Ovis aries: one gene and its partners. The protein of the gene in region 1 interacts with the protein of each later gene in a pairwise test. Links are inferred from orthologs where the notes say so. Each region holds a gene or a part of one and is shown on either strand. Other genes may lie near its edges.

Region 1 (3,878 bases):
TGGGTCGTGAAGACCTTTTTTGCATAGTCCTTCTGTGTATTCTTGCCACCTCTTCTTAATATCTCCTGCTTCTGTTAGGTCCATACCATTTCTGTCCTTTATTGAGCCCATCTTTGCATGAAATGTTCCCTTAGTATCTCTAATTTTCTTGAAGAGACCTCTGGTCTTTCTCATTCTATTGTTTTCCTCTTTTTCTTTGCACTGATCACTGAGGAAGGCTTTCTTATCTCTCCTTTTATTCTTTGGAACTCTGCATCCAAATGGGTATATCTTTCCTTTTCTCCTTTGCCTTTGATCACTTGACAGTGATTAAGACCATCCCCAACCAAAAGAAATGCAAAAAGGCAAAAATGGTTATCTGAGGAGACTTTACAAATAGGTGAGAAAAGAAAAGAAGCTAAAGGCAAAGGAGAAAAATGGTACTTGTCTTGAGTAAACTCAGGAAAGAGATTTACGAGTTGAGGCAGGACACCTGTTTACCAGTCCTCTTAGGGTTTTGCTCCATTCCCTCTTTCCTGGATGGAACTGAGCTGGGGTGGGGATAGTATCCCCTGGGGAGATGCCTTCAGTTCCTGGTCCCTCTTGCCCCAGCCACCACTGTTCTCCTGCTCCTATGGGCCTCATCAGTCTGTTTCTGGTGGGGGATAAGTAGTTGACTGGTGCTGACTGGTGCCCACTTCCTCTATTGCTAATGTCCACTAAGACTGCAGGCTCTTTCTCCCCTACTGTCCTGAGGGTTTGTTCACAAGGCGTCTCTTTTGTTCTGTCCCTCCTCGGTCAGGCTTTGAAACCTTGAGTAGAATGAGTGATGTCTAAATTGACACTGCACCCCCTTGGAGCCCCCAGAATCTCCTCCTCAGTGTTGGCACGTCTCTCCAACAGCACTTACCCTGGACTCTCCGATCCAGACCCAGGAGGGTTTCTGCTGCTCCCCAAGTCACCCTCAACCTGCATGGGCAGGGGGAGGAACCCAGGGCCCACTCAGGATCTGAGCCTTCTGCACCCACACCCGCCTCCATGTCAGCCTTGAAGGGCCGTCCACTGCAGGGAGAGTGAGCCTGGGGTAGGAAGGGACATAGAATGTGTGAATGGCACCAGCTTTCAGATCCTGTTGTTTCTCAGCTGCTTTGAACTCGGATGGGAGAATGTGTCTTTACTGCCTGGCTTCTGCCAGCAGAGCACCTACAGGCCATATTTGGAGGGGCTGAGGGGGCCCAAGGGAGGAGGCCAAAACAGACATGGGTCCATATTTCCTGACACAAACGCTTTATTCATTAGAGCAGCTGATGTTTGTCATATGGGATTCAAGCAGCCTGTCCTGCAGAGGAGGCTCCTGGGGCCCCACAGTCCACCCTGTCAAGGGCTTTCTGAGATGCCTGCCAAGTTCGAATCCTCTCTGGGCAGCAGCTGCGTGTCCAACTTTGGGAGAGGGGAGGTCCTGGCGCCAGCAGAGGGGCTCCTGGAGCTTGGGAGAGAGACAGCAGCTTGTGGAGGGCGGGTGATTGGCCGGTCAGCAGCAGAGCTCCGGGGCTGAGGTGGGGATGCCGCAGGCCAGGCGGGAGCATGCAGGCCGGCAGAGCAGGGACACAGAGGAGGCTGGGCGGCAGCAGCTTGGCTGGCAGGAGGAGGTGGGCACACAGCAGGCGAGGCGGCACGCAGGGCGGCAGAGGAGGGACACAGAGGAGGCCGGGCGGCAGAAGCTGGGCTTGCAAGAGGAGGCGGGCACACAGCAGGTGGGGCCGCACACGGGGCGGCACACAGGACGGCAGAGGAGGGACACGGAAGAGGAGGGTCTGCAGCAGGATGAGGGGGCTGAGCAGGGGGAGGTCTCACAGCACACGGGCCTGCAGCAAACAGGTGTACAGCAGACAGGCCTGCAGCAGACGGGCTCACAGCAGGCCTGCTGGCAGCAGGAGGAGGTGCAGCAGGAGGGCTGGCAGCTGGACTGCTGGCAACATGAGGAGGTTGAGAAGGGGGAGGCCTCACAGCAGACAGGCCTGCAGCAGACAGGTGTGCAGCAGACAGGTGTACAGCAGACAGGCCTGCAGCAGACGGGCCTGCAGCAGACAGGCTCACAGCAGACAGGTTCACAGCAGGCCTGCTGGCAGCGGGAGGAGGTGCAGCAGGAGGACTGGCAGCTGGACTGCTGGCCACATGAGGCTGGGCAGGAGCTGCTGCAGGCTGGCTGGCAGCAGGGGCTGGACTCACAACTCACTGGGGCGCAGAGGAGGGTCAGGCGGGGGGCCGAGGTGCAGCAGCTGGGGGCACAGCAGGGGGGCTCGCAGCAGCTCTCTGGACAGTCATCCACCTGCCAGGAGGAGCCGGTGCAGGAGTCACAGGATCCAGGCAGGCAGATCCGGCTGCTGTAGCTCAGGTCGCTGGAGCAAGCAGACAGGTTAGAGAAGGCCATGGTGGAGGTGGTACGGCTGGAGGAGGTGTAAGTGTGTGTGAGTGTGTGAGTGAAGTGCTGAGGGTGTCTGCTTTTATACCCGCCCTGAGTATGCGCGTGGCCCTGGTCGGAGGCTCCCACGCTCTCCCTTCCTTGTTGCTGTTTGGAGCTGACCCTCATTAGGGCTGCTGTGTTTTCTACAATTAGCTTTTACTCATTAAACATGTGAGTACGTTGCAAGAGTCTGTTTTCCCATCTGTTCTTTGTTTGGCTCCAGAAAACTTGTGGAGGATGCAAGACGCAAGTTTCTGCTGAATGCCTGCCAGGGTTCTTAAGTCACGTTCACGGAGGGAGGGGCTGAGCGTGAGACAAGTTCCCAGCCACTGCAGCCGCTCCCACTTCACGCCAGCCTTGACAGTGTGAGAATACATAGGGAAAGATGCCTAGCTTTACCGCAGCCCAAACTATACCTAAGAGCATTACTAAGAAGATAAGTTGCGAGCGAAATAGAAAACTTGACCAAAGAACACACACAACATATATCCACTGGGACCCGAGAGGTGTAAGCAAGAAACTCAGAGCTATAGACTGAATTACCACTCTTTCTGGATCAATCCATCCCTGATGTAACTTCAATCAGAACCCAAAAGAAATATTTTTGGCATATAAAGTGAAGATATTGAACTGCTAGAAAATATTTGCAATGTAAAAGTTGAAAGCCTTTACAACTAAAGCAGGATATGATACAATAGAATCAAACACAAGCACACAGTCCATTCAAATTTCCAATCAACATTTGAAAAGCTACTGGATATCACTGATAATTAAAAGGCTCTAAATTAAAACACAAATATCCCACCTGCAAGATCAGCCAAGATTTACAACACTGGTAACACCCAGTGCTGCACAGTCTGAGGTCCTCACTCTTCTTTAAAAATTAGTTAACTTTTCGCTGAGCTGGGTCTTTGTTGCTACATGTAGGCTTTCCCTGGTTGTGGCAAACGGGGCTTACTTTTTGTTGCAGTGGGCAGGCTGCTCTTGGCAATGGCTTATCTTATTGAGGAGCACTGGCTTTAGGACATATGGGCTTTGGTAGTTGTGGCACGTGGGCTAGTCCCAGACCAGGGATTAAATTTATGTTCTTTGCATTGGCAAGTGGATTGTTAACCACTGGATCACCAGGGAAGCTCTAGGGGCCTCCCTGTTAGAAATCCTTAACAGGTACGTTTTTTTTTTTATTACATGTAACAAATAATATAAAATTAACCATTTTAAAGTGTTCGATTCAGGGACATTTAGTACAGTCACAACACTGTACAACTATGACCACTATCTAGTCCCGGGACATTCCCAAAAGGAAATCTTGTAGTATTGGGTAGACCCTCCCCAGTCCCTGTCAAGCACCGCTCTGCTTTCTGTCTCTATGACTTTGGCTGTTCTGCTCATTTCATGTAAAAGGAATCACACAATAGGTGGCCTTTTGTGTCTG
Region 2 (4,166 bases), on another chromosome or scaffold:
CCCTCTTCCCTGACTGCTGTCCTCTACCCAGCCTTGCCCCCTCATCCCTTCTTGCGTTTGGTATTGAGACTTCTCAGACTCCACCCTTCTTTCTTTTGTATGGACAGTTCCCCTTCAGTCCCATACCCCTACATACAGACACCCAGCCGGGGCCAAATTTATACTTATATAAAAGTTGTAAATATGTGAAATTTTATCCCTGTGCCCTTCCTTGCTTTCCCAACCTCAGACCCTACCCCTGGACCTCCTTTCCTCTCTTCTTTGGCTGTTGTAATTATCTGGGATTTGTACTGTACATATCCGGGGTGTGTGTGTGTGGGCTGGGGGCAACCCCTCTGTACAGCGCTTCCTGGCCCCCTCCCCACCACGATTCCCTCTCCCCCAATAAGGGTAGGGAGATGTTCTTCCTACCTGTTTTATTTTGTTTTCTCGTTCTCCCTCCCCACCCCACCCCACCCCCAGCCTACTCTCTCCCCCACCACTGCCCCTTCCACTCCCAGCCCCATTTCCTTTTTTTCTGGAGTGTGTGGTGAAACAGAAAAATCATGTTTAATAAACGGAGATTGTTCTTTTACCGCGGTGCTGACTTTCCTAGTCTCGGACCTCCCGGAGGATCAGCATGGTGACAGGAACTGCTTTTTGAGGAAGCTGACAGCTTGGGAGAAATTCTGTATCCTTGTGTGACGCCATAGTCTTGGCCCTAGAATATCGCTCTCCCAACTAGCAAGATTGTTTTGAGTAGGGGTTTTTGCACAGGCCAAATTTCCCCCATGTGTCTCACCATTGCGCCACTTAACCCCAAGAGAAAAGAGGTTAAGGAACAGCAGCAGTATCTGATAAAAAATAAGTGTACATCTACATGTCCCTTAAAAGTAATTACCTAGAAGAGAAGATTATTTCATTGTTGGTTAAAGTGCTCCCGTACGGAACGGAGGAAAGAACTTGGTGCCTCAGCCTTGTGGAGTCGGCCCCTGAGCCAGCACTTGCCGTCTCGGCTTCCCCTGAGGAAAGGATGGGAACTCCTACCTCGCTGGTGGCGGGTCGGGGGAGGGGGCGTGGGATAGAAGGTGATATGAACAATACCTAATACGCTAGGTGTCCTCTTAATCTCAGCACCCATCGGGGGCAGGCGTTACATTTAATCACTGGCACGGCTCACTGGTGGCACCCTCGGTACCGCCTGCGCATTCTCATCCCCTCTGCGGCCCCAGCCGGGTGTACTGCCTCCCGCCAGGACCGCCTTCTCGCCGGCATGACCAATCGACGTGAGGCTTGTAGGCCGGCGCCCTCCGATTGGCTGCCTCCCTGGCCCCGCCCAACTCCCCGGGGGTCCGCTTCCGGCGGGGAGGAGGCGGCTTCCGGCCGAGGCGGCGCGGTTGCTGCAGAGCCGCTCTGGACGCAGGACCGCGTGTGTACCCGTGGGGGCGTGGCGACAGGAAGGGCCAAGTGGCTGGCGCTCGCGGTCCCCGGGTACCTGCCAGGGAGTTGGACTCTGCGGGCACGTGAGTTGGGGAGCGGAACGGTGGGAAGAAGCCGACCGGGCCGGCGGGATCCGGCTCGCGGCTGAAGGACCTCCTCCTCGCCACAGGCCCTTCAAGTTCAATCCCCGGTTGGTGTTTTGTTGTGGTTTGTTTTCGTTTTCTTGGCGGGGGAGTGTGTGGGACTGTTCTGCCCGAACCACCGGCTACCGAAAAGTTCCACACGTTGGGGTGCAGCGGAGGCGGACGTTGCTTGGGGAGATACGATTGTCTTTATCCACAGCTTCTGTGACCCCTTCTTTCCTCCACAGCCCTCGTCGCGCAGGGGCTCTCCCCCGCCCTCTCACCTCCTGTACCCGACCCTCTGGGATCTCTTTCTTCCCCAGGAGGCCATGGATACCTCGACGCCTTTGCCTCCTGTAGCCCCCTCCCCAGCCTGCAACCCAGCCCCACGGACGATCCAGATCGAGTTCCCTCAGCACAGTTCTTTGCTGCTGGAGGCCCTGAACCGCCACAGGCTGGAGGGAAAGTTCTGTGACGTCTCTCTCCTGGTGCAGGGCCGCGAACTGAGGGCCCACAAAGCAGTGTTGGCCGCCGCTTCTCCTTACTTCCACGACAAACTACTTCTGGGGGATGCACCGCGTCTCACCCTACCCAGCGTTATCGAAGCCGATGCCTTCGAGGGGCTGCTCCAGCTCATTTATTCGGGGCACCTCCGTCTGCCCCTGGATGCTCTCCCTGCACACCTTCTTGTGGCCAGTGGCCTGCAGATGTGGCAAGTGGTAGATCAGTGCTCAGAGATCCTTAGAGAACTGGAAAACGCAGGTGGTGGGATTTCGTCCCGAGGAGTAGCCCCTTTCCACACACTTCTTTCCACCACAGGAGGCTGGTCCATCCGCTCTTCTCCTTTCCAGACCCCGGCACAGTCTTCTGCTTCTAACCAGAGCTCGATTGGAGGGGAGGGGAGTGAACTGGGAGATATATTACAGCTTCAGGTTGAAGAGGAAGATGAGGAAGAAGATGAGGAGGACCAAGGGTCAGCAGCACCCTGTCAGACTCCTCAGCCTCAGAGAGGATCAGGGAGTTTTCCTCCCCCTCCTGTATCCTACCCCCTGCCCACATCCACTATTCCTTGCAGAGTTCCAGAGGGCGAGAGTGCCCCACCTGAGCCTCCTGCTCCTCATACTGCATTGCCCCCCAAAATCTTCTACATCAAGCAGGAACCCTTTGAGTCCAAGGAGGAGATAGCTGGAGGCGGAAGTCAGTCTGTAGGAGCAAAGGAGGAGACCAAAGTGTTTCCAGCAGGGAACACTGAAGAGAATGGACAACTAGGGTTCCTGCTGCCCTCAGGAGCAGGGACAACATCTGGAGGAGGTGATCCATCCTGGAAACCAGTGGATCTTCATGGGAATGAAATCCTATCAGGGGGTGGGGGACCTGGGGGAGTAGGGCAGGCTGTGCATGGGCCTGTGAAGCTAGGTGGCGCTCCCCCTGCAGATGGAAAACGCTTTGGTTGTTTGTGTGGGAAACGCTTTGCAGTGAAGCCAAAGCGTGACCGGCACATCATGCTGACATTCAGCCTTCGACCCTTTGGCTGTGGCATCTGCAACAAGCGTTTCAAGCTGAAGCACCACCTGACAGAGCATATGAAGACGCATGCTGGAGCCCTACATGCCTGTCCTCACTGTGGTCGCCGGTTCAGAGTCCATGCCTGTTTCCTTCGCCATAGGGACCTCTGCAAGGGTCAGGGCTGGGCCACTGCTCACTGGACTTACAAGTGATTGCTAAGGCCATATGCTAACTTTCAGGACAAGGGAGCCACTACTGCTGATGGATACTTATTACCGCTCACTACCACAGTACCCTAATCCTGTATCTTGATGTTGGTGTTGGTGGTTTTTTCTTGGCCATACCTCGTAGCATGCCACCAGGGATTGAACCTGCACCCCTGCAGTAGACAGTGCAGAGTCCTAACCACTGGACTAGCAGCAACGTCATATCTTGTTAGTTATTCCACAAGGATAGATATATTATGGATCTCTTCTTGGATGTGGGCCTCAACCTGACAGATTTGAAAACTTGATTTCTCATCTCCAGGTTTTTGCTAACTATCCTCCGGGAGACTGGTTTACAGGCCCTAGATATACTGATCAGTTGCCTGTAATCGATCCTTTCATACAGGAAACTGGATTAAATTTCAGATTAGAAGTTTTATTTGATGAGAGAGGAGTTAGAGCAAGAAAAATTATGATAAATGTTTAATTCAGTCTCTATGAGAAGTTAAGGGAGCTGGTCTCCATCTAGAGATGTGTTTGATTCAGAGTTCTAGTAATCCAGAGACTAAGCTCTAAGCTTTACTTTTCCCTCATCATTGCTGAAATTTTATGAGTAAAGGTCTTATATACTTTTCTTTTGTTATGATTTTCTGGAAACCCTTCAGTCTATAAATTACTTTCTCACCAGTAGGTACTTTTTCAACACCTTTATTTTGTATGTTGTAGTTGAGCGCTTTAACAAATTGAGAATTCCATGAGTCACTTAGAACCCTCTTTAATAGAGGTATTCCCTCCACAGTCTGTGCCTCTTGTCTACCTTTGACCACCACTTATCACTCATATTGATCACAGGGACTGAAGTGTGATCAGTGAACTCAGGAGATGGCCATTGACCTAAAAATAAAATACTCTC
Region 3 (4,307 bases), on another chromosome or scaffold:
CAGAGTGCAGGACCACCTAACACGGGGGAAGGGAAGACTGTGCACTCCGGACAACTGGCAGAGGACGCAGAGCAAAGCGCGTGAAGACAGACCCACAGCAAAGGCCAAACACACACACTTCAGAAAATCCGGAGTGAAAAAGAACAGGATTTTCCAAGTAAATATAGTTCGTATGATTTTAAATATACTTCTACCAGTAAATAATTCTAAGTAGACTATTTGACCTATACTCCCTAAAGGTCTTATATACTCAAAAACATTTTTGAGGACCTTCTCATTTGTATTATCTTACTTTCTGGCATTTATGGTATTCCTATCAGTTATTCCCTGGTGGCTCAGACGGTAAAGCGTCGGTCTACAATGCAGGAGACTTGGGTTCAATCCCTGGGTTGGGAAGATCCCCTGGAAAAGGAAATGGCAATCCACTCCAGTACTATTGCCTGGAAAATCCCACGGACAGAGGAGCCTGGTAGGCTACAGTCCATGGGGTTGCCAAGAGTTGGACACGACAGAGCAACTTCACTTATCAGTTAAAAAGCAAACAGAACATGTCAGTGTCAGGCGGCCTCGGTGGTGCAGCCTGTCTCCTCCCATTTATCCTTGGGACACAGCCCACCGAGACAGGAACTCCCCAACTCACCTTCTCTCATTTTTTGATCTAATTCATCCAGTGTTGGCTCGATCAACTCCCAACCATCTGGGGGAGCTTTCCGGCTTCTTTTGACTTTAGGCATTTTTTCCCAGAAGATAGTCTGCAAAAATCTGTGGGGAAAAAAAATTAAAATGAATTGGCTTCTGAGCCTCAGGATCCCCAGAGGACTTCACAAGCCACAACTCTGGTGCACATTCATATCTGTAAGTCTGTTTCCTCATCTGTGTAACGGGGAGAATCTACTTAAGGAGCCATGTGGGGCCTGATTACATGTAACGTGCCTGGTATTTAAGGTGTGCTTGGTAGAGTTTTGCTATTATCATACGAAGAATAAGACACACACTGTCCCCGAGAAGGTGATATTCCAGCAGGGAAATGCAGCGTAGAAAGGGAAGCACAACACAGTGTGAGGGAGGCTGGCTGGGAGAGCAACGCCGAGCGTTTAGACAGGAAGAAGAGTGAGACCAAAGTACCTTAGGGCCTGTTTCCCAAGAGTAACAGAAAGATCTCAGGTCTCTTCAGTTACAGGCTCGGATTCTTGTCCAGCTATGACTTTGGAGAGGTCACATTCCCTTTCTGGTCCTCAATCTTGTCTATAAAGTGAGGACAGTGTATTAACTGGATTGCCAAGGTCTCTTTTAAACCCAACAAACATACTATATAAAGGAAGTCATGTAAACCCCAAAGAAAAGACCAGCCCAGATCTACATAGCAAGTCATTTTTCAAACCGCAAGGCATTTCGTAGCCAGCAAAGAGAACTCAGGGTGGGACTTCCCTGGTGGTCCAGTTGCTAAGACTCTGAGCTCCCAACGCAGGGGGCCTGGGTCCCATCCCTGGTCAGGGAACTAGTTCCCACATGCCGCAATTAAGAGTTTGCATGCCTCAACGAAGACCCGGTGCAGTCAAATAAATATTTTCAGAATATTTTAAAAAATACACTAAAAGAGAACTCCTGTTAATTATCTTTAAGCAGAGCAGACTCCTCCTTTCCCACGTTCATTCAGTTCCTCCCTCCCGATATGTTTACGAAGCCCCGCCCTCTTCGCCGCATCAAGTGAATTCTCAGCAACCACCTTACAGAAGATCAAACTCAGGGTCGCCCAGAGCTGGGAACCGGCAGAGTTTGACTCATCGGGGGCTCCTGACGCCCCAATCTGTCTTTACACTTGTCTCCCCTGCTCTGAAGCTAGAGACGAATGGAATCTGGTCCCTGTCTCAAGGAGCACGGGCTGGGTGGACAAAGACGACGGAATGACCACTCTGCTAACTAAGACCCACGGAGAGTTGAGGGCCTGGCCCAGCTTGGGAGTTGGTGGAGGCCTCCCATGGGAGGTAACAGCTAAGAAGCAACCTGGTCAGGAAGAAAGAGATGTGGGGCGGTGTTAGAAAGGTGGTAGCGCTCGGGAGGGGCGGAGAGCCGAAAGGCGTTCGGAAGAAGCTGAGTGAAGACGGCTACAACCCGGGTTGTAAGGCTCATGGAGACTACGGCATCTGAACCGGGATGACAAGGAAAAGCACTATTTAGACAACAAACGTTCTAGGCGAGGGGGAAATGAGCGAAAAATAAGGGCGGGGAAACCTAGAAGCAAGGGAACCCCCAAATTTCCCATGCCCTCCGCGGACCCACCAAGACGCCGCCTAGTCTCGGGAACTCACTTCGACCTTCGGGTCCAGAGGCCCGAACCTGTCCCAGTTCGGGTGTTCAGATCGCCTTCTGGGCCAACGCAGACGTCCGACCCCTGGTCCCCAGCCGTTACCAAGGTCCTAGAGAAGAGAAGGGAAACACTCACTAGGCCTCCGTCGCGGTGCAACGTCCCTTCCGTATCCACCGCCTCAGCTTCCCCAAGTATCTCTTCACGATGAGGTCCTCGCGGAGCCCCGCCCCACGGAGCGCGGCGATTGCGTTACCTTAGGTGTCCGCAGCCCTGCCTGCGCACAATTCCGGCGCCGCGCTCTCCTTTCGTCCGCACTGCCCGGCGGCGTGGGCTGGCAGGCTCACGCGCCTCCCACGGCGGGGTTGGGAGGGGCTCTGTTGCCCAGCAGCGCGCGGGCGAGCCTGGGCTCAGGCGGCGCGTGGGACCGCCCGGCCTCCCTGAGGGCCGCGGTTCTCGCGGCGGCGGCGGCGCGCTGAGAGGCGGCCGGGTGGCGGGGCCGGGGGGCGGGAAACTGGCCGGGCGGAAGAAGTCGAGCCCGAGAAGTTTCCGGTTCCGGTGTCAGCTCGAGGCGCCGCCGCCGCAGCCGCCGGAGCCGCGATGCCTAAAGGAGGTGAGGGGCGGGCGCGTGTCGCCCGCGGGCCTCGAGGAGCGGCCCGAGTCCGGCTCCCGCCGTCCAGTCAGCCCGCGGGCGCCTCAGAGAGCGACTCGGAGGGAGGACGTCCGCTCCGGCTGAGGGCCCGGCCTGGGCCTCGACGCTCAATTGTCCCGCTGGAGAAACCGAGGACCGTAGTGGTGGCCTCGAGCCGCTCCCTGGGGGTCTGAGGAGATTTGGAGGCGCCGGGTCCTCGCCCACCCGGATGGCCTGTCTAGGGCGCGCTTCTCTCGGCCTGGGGGGTGGGGTCTGGAGTTTCCTACCCCTTTCAGGCTCGCCGGGCACTGAGTCACCGCGTCCCGCGCCAGAGCCGGGCCCGCCTGCCTCGCGCGTAATACGTGGGCCTTCTCGGGCTCTGGGCGAGCTAGGCTTGCCTCTGGCGACCTAGCTGGATGCTCTCGAGCCTGGCCGACCTAGCTTTGACTGCCCTTTTCGAGCGGCTAGACGTGGGCCTTTGAGCCAGCCGCATAACCTCCCTGTGTTTTTGCAAGTATAGGCGTATGATTGTATCTACCTCATAATACTGATGGCGAGTCTTGAAGTAGGTGATCCACGTGGAGGGCGCTGTATGGTGCTGATAGTCGCTAAGTGTCCAGTAAGCATTATCTATTGTTGCTCCTAAGACTTTGCCAGTTCCTTGGTCAAGAAAGTAAAGAATCCATGGCTTCCCCGGTACGTTTGTACACCGTCCTCCACCCTCTTACCCCTGAGTCAAGAGTGCCTAACTTGAAGCCCAGCTGTGTCACTGTCTAGCCTTATGGCCTTGAACAAGTTCTCCCAGCCTGTTTTCCCCATCTGGAACACCTAGCTAATAACCCTTAGCCTGGAGAGTTGGGATCGGGGTCGTAAATACATAGCGCCCTCGCCGTGCCTGGCTACTCCTGGCGCAGAAGAGGTGTTCAGTTAATATTGGTCTCTCCTGTGACATGTTGGTTAAGGGTCTCAGCCCACAGGAAGATCTGCTTGGAGCTTTTTCAAACCTAAACGACTTCCTGACTCTGCTCCCAGAGATGCTGGGGTTTTCAGAGCTGAATCTCTAAACATAATTTTCTAGTGGTTTATTCTGTGGTAGGAAGAGCTTTGTCTCCTCTGTGTCTCTCAGTCTTATGTTCTGCAAAAGGAGGGGTATTAGGGGTACCAACCTGAGTTCGATCCCTGGGTTGAGAAGAGTCTCTGGAGAAGGGAAAAGCTACCCACTCCAGTGTTCTGGCCTGGAGAATTCCATGGACTGTGTAGTACATGGGGTCGCAAAGAGTCAGACACGACTGAGCAACTTTCACTTCTGGTGCCAGAATTCTAAGAGTCCTACTTAATAGGTGCTTTGAGCCAAGGTTGGCGGTTACAATT
Region 4 (4,009 bases), on another chromosome or scaffold:
CGGTGGGAGCCATTGAAGGGCATGATGCTGAGGGATGGGAAGATTCTGATTTGGCTTCTTGGGGGTGACTGTGGTGGTGACAGGGTGGATGTACTGGAGGGAGAGACAAGGAGCGAGGGTTAGGAGCAACTGTTGCAATAATCCCAGCAAGACTTGAGAAGGAGAGAAAGCCAGGCTTCCCTGCCATCATTCACTGCTGGTACCCTCAATCAGGACCTCCCTGGACGGAGAGGCAAGATAGATTCAGGGTCCCTTTAACTCACCCTGGCAGCTCTACAGCCCTCCAGAATGGCTCTAATTCTTATATTTGGAGATTGCATCCTACTCCATCACCATCAGCATTCTCCTTCTCTTCTTCCTCCCCCTCCTCTTTCTTCTCCTTCCTTTCATCCTCACTCACTCACTCACTCTCTCTCTCTCTCTCTCCTGCCCACACTCTGCTCCTGGAGCAACACAGTTTCCTCCTTCCTCTAGCTCAAGCCTCTCTGATGGGAAAAATTGGAAAAATAAAACAGAAAAGCAAGCCTGAAATATTTTTTTTTTAATGAACTGAAGAACAGTCAGCAGGGCTCTGGTGAGAAGCAGGTGTGACCCACAAGAGTACTGCCCCGGCCACTTTAAAACAGAAGCCCCTGTGATAAGGAGGATCCACAATGCTTTGGTCTCCCCCAAGTCTGGAAACCCTGGGGGTGCTCCACAAATATCTAAAACAATTTTCATCACAGAGACCATCACCTTGGAGCTTGGAGGAGGAACTCACAGCCCTTCTCCAACAATCCTGCCCGCAGACAGTAGGAAATAGAGACCAACTGAGCAATGCCCTTGGGCCCCCATGTTCTGGCTTCCCTGTGACCATCTGCCACCTTAAACTCACCCAGAACTATCTTCAGTGACTTTTCCCAGGTCACAGCAACCTGTTTACAGACATCTAGAATTCCCAGGCACTTTTAGGACAAGGCATTCAGGATGTGTCCAAGTGGGCAGCAAAGTCTTGTCTAAGAGAAGTTGTTCCTCCAAATCTATTTCTGCCCATGTAAACATCTGCCAAGGAAACAAGGCATGTGGGCATGCGCTGGGCCCACAGGCCCTCGGGTTGCTGCAAAAGGCAAATGGAAAGTCACATGTCATAACAGTGGAAAGTACATACGCAACTATTCTTAGCCCTGGAATGTATACACGGTCTCTCTGCCCAGCAGTTCTTTCACAAAGCTCTAGAAAACTGTGAAAGCGCCTTCAGCATAAACAAATCCAGAATTCTCCCAGGACAAATTATTTGCCAGCTTAAGGAAAGGCCTGGTTTTATGGTTTCACTTGGAGCCAGAGGTGGAAAGTCTCCGGAGGGACCAGCCGCGGCAGGTATCGATGGTTTTCACTGCAGGAAAACGAGGTAAATAGCTCTAATGTTTAATTCTTCTGCAGGTGAACGGGTGGCCAGATGTCATCCAATAAACCCTGCCCAGGGTACCGTCGGTCTCTGCTTTCTATTTATCTCATTTTAAAAACAAAAGCCACAAGACTCCGTGAGGTCATGTTTAAAAATAAAAACAAAACATTGCAAAGATCCATTTCCATCCCTCATTTCTGTCTCGATACCAGAGGCCACGCCCCCAGCATGACATCCGTGGGGAATGACTAACACCCGGAAAGATGTTTGGATGAGTTTACTAAGTAAGAGATATGCTGAGAATCCGGAGAAAAGTTCACAGACTTATGCTTCAAATGCACAGACTGTCATTTTGCTTCAAGCTAACGTTTTAGCCCCTGTAACCACTTACCACCTTCAACTCTCCCAACTTACCACCTGCTCTCTCTCTCTTCTAAATTTTTTTTCTTTTCTTTTCTTTTTTCAGATTGTCTGCAGATGCTATTTCTCTGTTACCTCTGAGAATAATCATAACCAAATAGAGAGATTTTCGCTGAGGCCCGTACACTAGGTGGTCCCATTTTCCAGTCTTCACTAAGGCGTATTCTTGGTGGTACCCACAAAGAGCTTAGTGAATGGACAGATAGATGTGCTGTAAGTCTCGGAGCCGCCACAGCTTAACCCTCCAGGACGACCTCCTTCTTGGGACTTCTCCCCGTCTTTACAGGATGGACATGGAGTCATCAGAGGGGCTCCTCTTCAAAGACCATGACTTCTCCTCTGACTTGCTGAGGCAGCTCAACGACTTGAGGCAAAATCGGATCCTGACCGACGTAAGCATCTGCGCCGGGGCCCGGGAGGTCCCCTGCCACCGCAACGTGCTGGCCTCCAGCAGTCCCTACTTCAGGGCCATGTTCTGCAGCAACTTCCGGGAGAGCCGAGAGGCCAAGGTCCAGCTGAAAGGCATCGATGCCTCGACTCTGGAGCGAATCGTCCTGTATGTGTACACGGGTGAGGCGCACATCACTGTGGAAAGTGTCCTGCCCCTGATGGAGGCCGCATCCATGCTGCAGTACCCCAAGCTGCTCGAGGCCTGCTCCTCCTTCCTCCAGAGCCAGCTGAGCCCCAGCAACTGCCTGGGCATGACTAGACTCTCTGAAATCTTCAGCTGTGAGACCCTCCGGAAGAAAGCCAGGGAGGTGGCCCTGACATATTTCCCAGAAGTGGCCGCGTCGGCTGACCTGAAGGAGCTCTGTGCCTTGGAACTGAGAGACTACCTGGGGGACGATGGGCTGTGTGGGGAGGAGGAGAAGGTGTTCGAGGCCCTCATGGTTTGGATCAAGCATGACCTCCAGACCCGGAAGCGATACGTGCAGGAACTGTTCAAGCAGGTCAGGCTGCAGTACGTCCACCCGGCCTTCTTCCACCACTTCATCGCCAACGACGCCCTCCTCCAGTCTTCGCCCCCCTGCCAGACCATCCTGGAGACCGCCAAGAGGCAGGTGTTTTCTCTGTACAGCACCGCTAGTTCTGCGGGCCTCCAACCTCTGTGGCATGTCCCGCCAAGAAACTCTTACCAAGACTTCCTCATCCTCTTGGGTGGAAGGAAGGACAACCAGCAGACCACCAGGGATGTCCTGCTGTACGACGGACAGACTGGCCGGTGGCAGAGCCTTGCCAAACTCCCGGCCCGCCTGTACAAGGCCTCAGCCGTCTCCTTGCACCGCGGCATCTACGTGCTGGGGGGCATGGCTGTGGGGAAGAGTGTGCCCAGTGCCAAGGTCTACGTCTTCTCCCTGAAACTGAATCAGTGGAGGCCAGGGCAGCCCATGCTGGCGGCCCGCTACTCCCACAGAAGCGCTGCCCACAAGAACTTCATCTTCTCCATCGGGGGGATTGGTGAGGGGCACGAGGTCATGGGCTCCATGGAGAGATATGACAGTGTCGGCAACGTCTGGGAGAGGATGGCCAGCATGCCAGTGGGGGTCCTCCACCCTGCGGTTGCTGTGAAAGACCAGAGACTCTACCTTTTTGGGGGAGAAGACATCATGCAGAATCCTGTGCGCCTTATCCAGGTAAACAGTACTTCCCACCATACAAGTGCACACACACACACACACACACACGTATGCATACATGTATCCAGGTAAATGGTTCTTCCCACTATGTCTACACACACCTACAAACAAGCACATTCATGCACACACACATATGTACAGATGCATGCATGACACATATGCTCACACGTGTGTGCACTGCATGCACACGCATGTATACATGTGTGCATGTGCAAACACATGTGTACATACACAGATACATGAATACACACATACCTATGCACATATATGCGTATTATACATGCTTGTTAGTTGCAAGGGAAGGATAAAGGAGGAAGGGAGGGAGGAAGGAAGGAAGTTTAATTTCAGCAAGATCTTATCCATTTATGAATTCTTTTGGGTAAGGTCAATACATACAAAGGTACATCAGATACCTCTAAAGGATCTAGCTGCTACTGCTACTGCTGCTAAGTCACTTCAGTCATGTCCGACTCTGTGTGACCCCATAGACAGCAGCCCACCAGGCTCCCCCCTCCCTGGGATTCTCCAGGCAAGAACACTGGAGTGGGCTGCCATTTCCTTCTCCAAT

Evidence for each region.
Region 2: the proteins of keratin-associated protein 10-12-like (region 1) and ZBTB9 interact in binary tests that used the Homo sapiens proteins (3 or more experiments, as listed by UniProt). The two-hybrid records come from large-scale screens. The link is inferred for Ovis aries from reciprocal best matches to the Homo sapiens genes KRTAP10-7 and ZBTB9.
Region 3: the proteins of keratin-associated protein 10-12-like (region 1) and BUD31 interact in binary tests that used the Homo sapiens proteins (3 or more experiments, as listed by UniProt). The two-hybrid records come from large-scale screens. The link is inferred for Ovis aries from reciprocal best matches to the Homo sapiens genes KRTAP10-7 and BUD31.
Region 4: the proteins of keratin-associated protein 10-12-like (region 1) and KLHL38 interact in binary tests that used the Homo sapiens proteins (3 or more experiments, as listed by UniProt). The two-hybrid records come from large-scale screens. The link is inferred for Ovis aries from reciprocal best matches to the Homo sapiens genes KRTAP10-7 and KLHL38.

The regions. Positions count from the first base shown.
Region 1 is NC_056054.1:262,544,474-262,548,351, reverse strand, and holds keratin-associated protein 10-12-like, read right to left. Parts: upstream 2,561-3,878; 5' UTR 2,411-2,560; coding exon 1,511-2,410; 3' UTR 505-1,510; downstream 1-504. UniProt on the Homo sapiens protein: In the hair cortex, hair keratin intermediate filaments are embedded in an interfilamentous matrix, consisting of hair keratin-associated proteins (KRTAP), which are essential for the formation of a rigid and resistant hair shaft through their extensive disulfide bond cross-linking with abundant cysteine residues of hair keratins.
Region 2 is NC_056073.1:7,781,650-7,785,815, forward strand, and holds the start of ZBTB9 (zinc finger and BTB domain-containing protein 9), read left to right. Parts: upstream 1-1,360; 5' UTR 1,361-1,502; exon of another isoform or gene 1,503-1,609; intron 1,610-1,789; exon of another isoform or gene 1,790-1,864; 5' UTR 1,865-1,870; coding exon 1,871-3,259; 3' UTR 3,260-4,166. UniProt on the Homo sapiens protein: May be involved in transcriptional regulation.
Region 3 is NC_056077.1:37,431,352-37,435,658, forward strand, and holds the start of BUD31 (protein BUD31 homolog), read right to left. Parts: upstream 2,807-4,307; 5' UTR 2,562-2,806; intron 2,515-2,561; exon of another isoform or gene 2,418-2,514; 5' UTR 2,310-2,417; exon of another isoform or gene 2,281-2,309; intron 1,246-2,280; exon of another isoform or gene 1,126-1,245; intron 763-1,125; 5' UTR 735-762; coding exon 641-734; intron 1-640. Other genes in the region: PDAP1 (28 kDa heat- and acid-stable phosphoprotein), read left to right, coding at 2,906-2,918. UniProt on the Homo sapiens protein: Involved in the pre-mRNA splicing process. May play a role as regulator of AR transcriptional activity; may increase AR transcriptional activity.
Region 4 is NC_056062.1:29,254,728-29,258,736, forward strand, and holds the start of KLHL38 (kelch-like protein 38), read left to right. Parts: upstream 1-1,203; 5' UTR 1,204-1,387; intron 1,388-1,850; 5' UTR 1,851-2,010; coding exon 2,011-3,438; intron 3,439-4,009.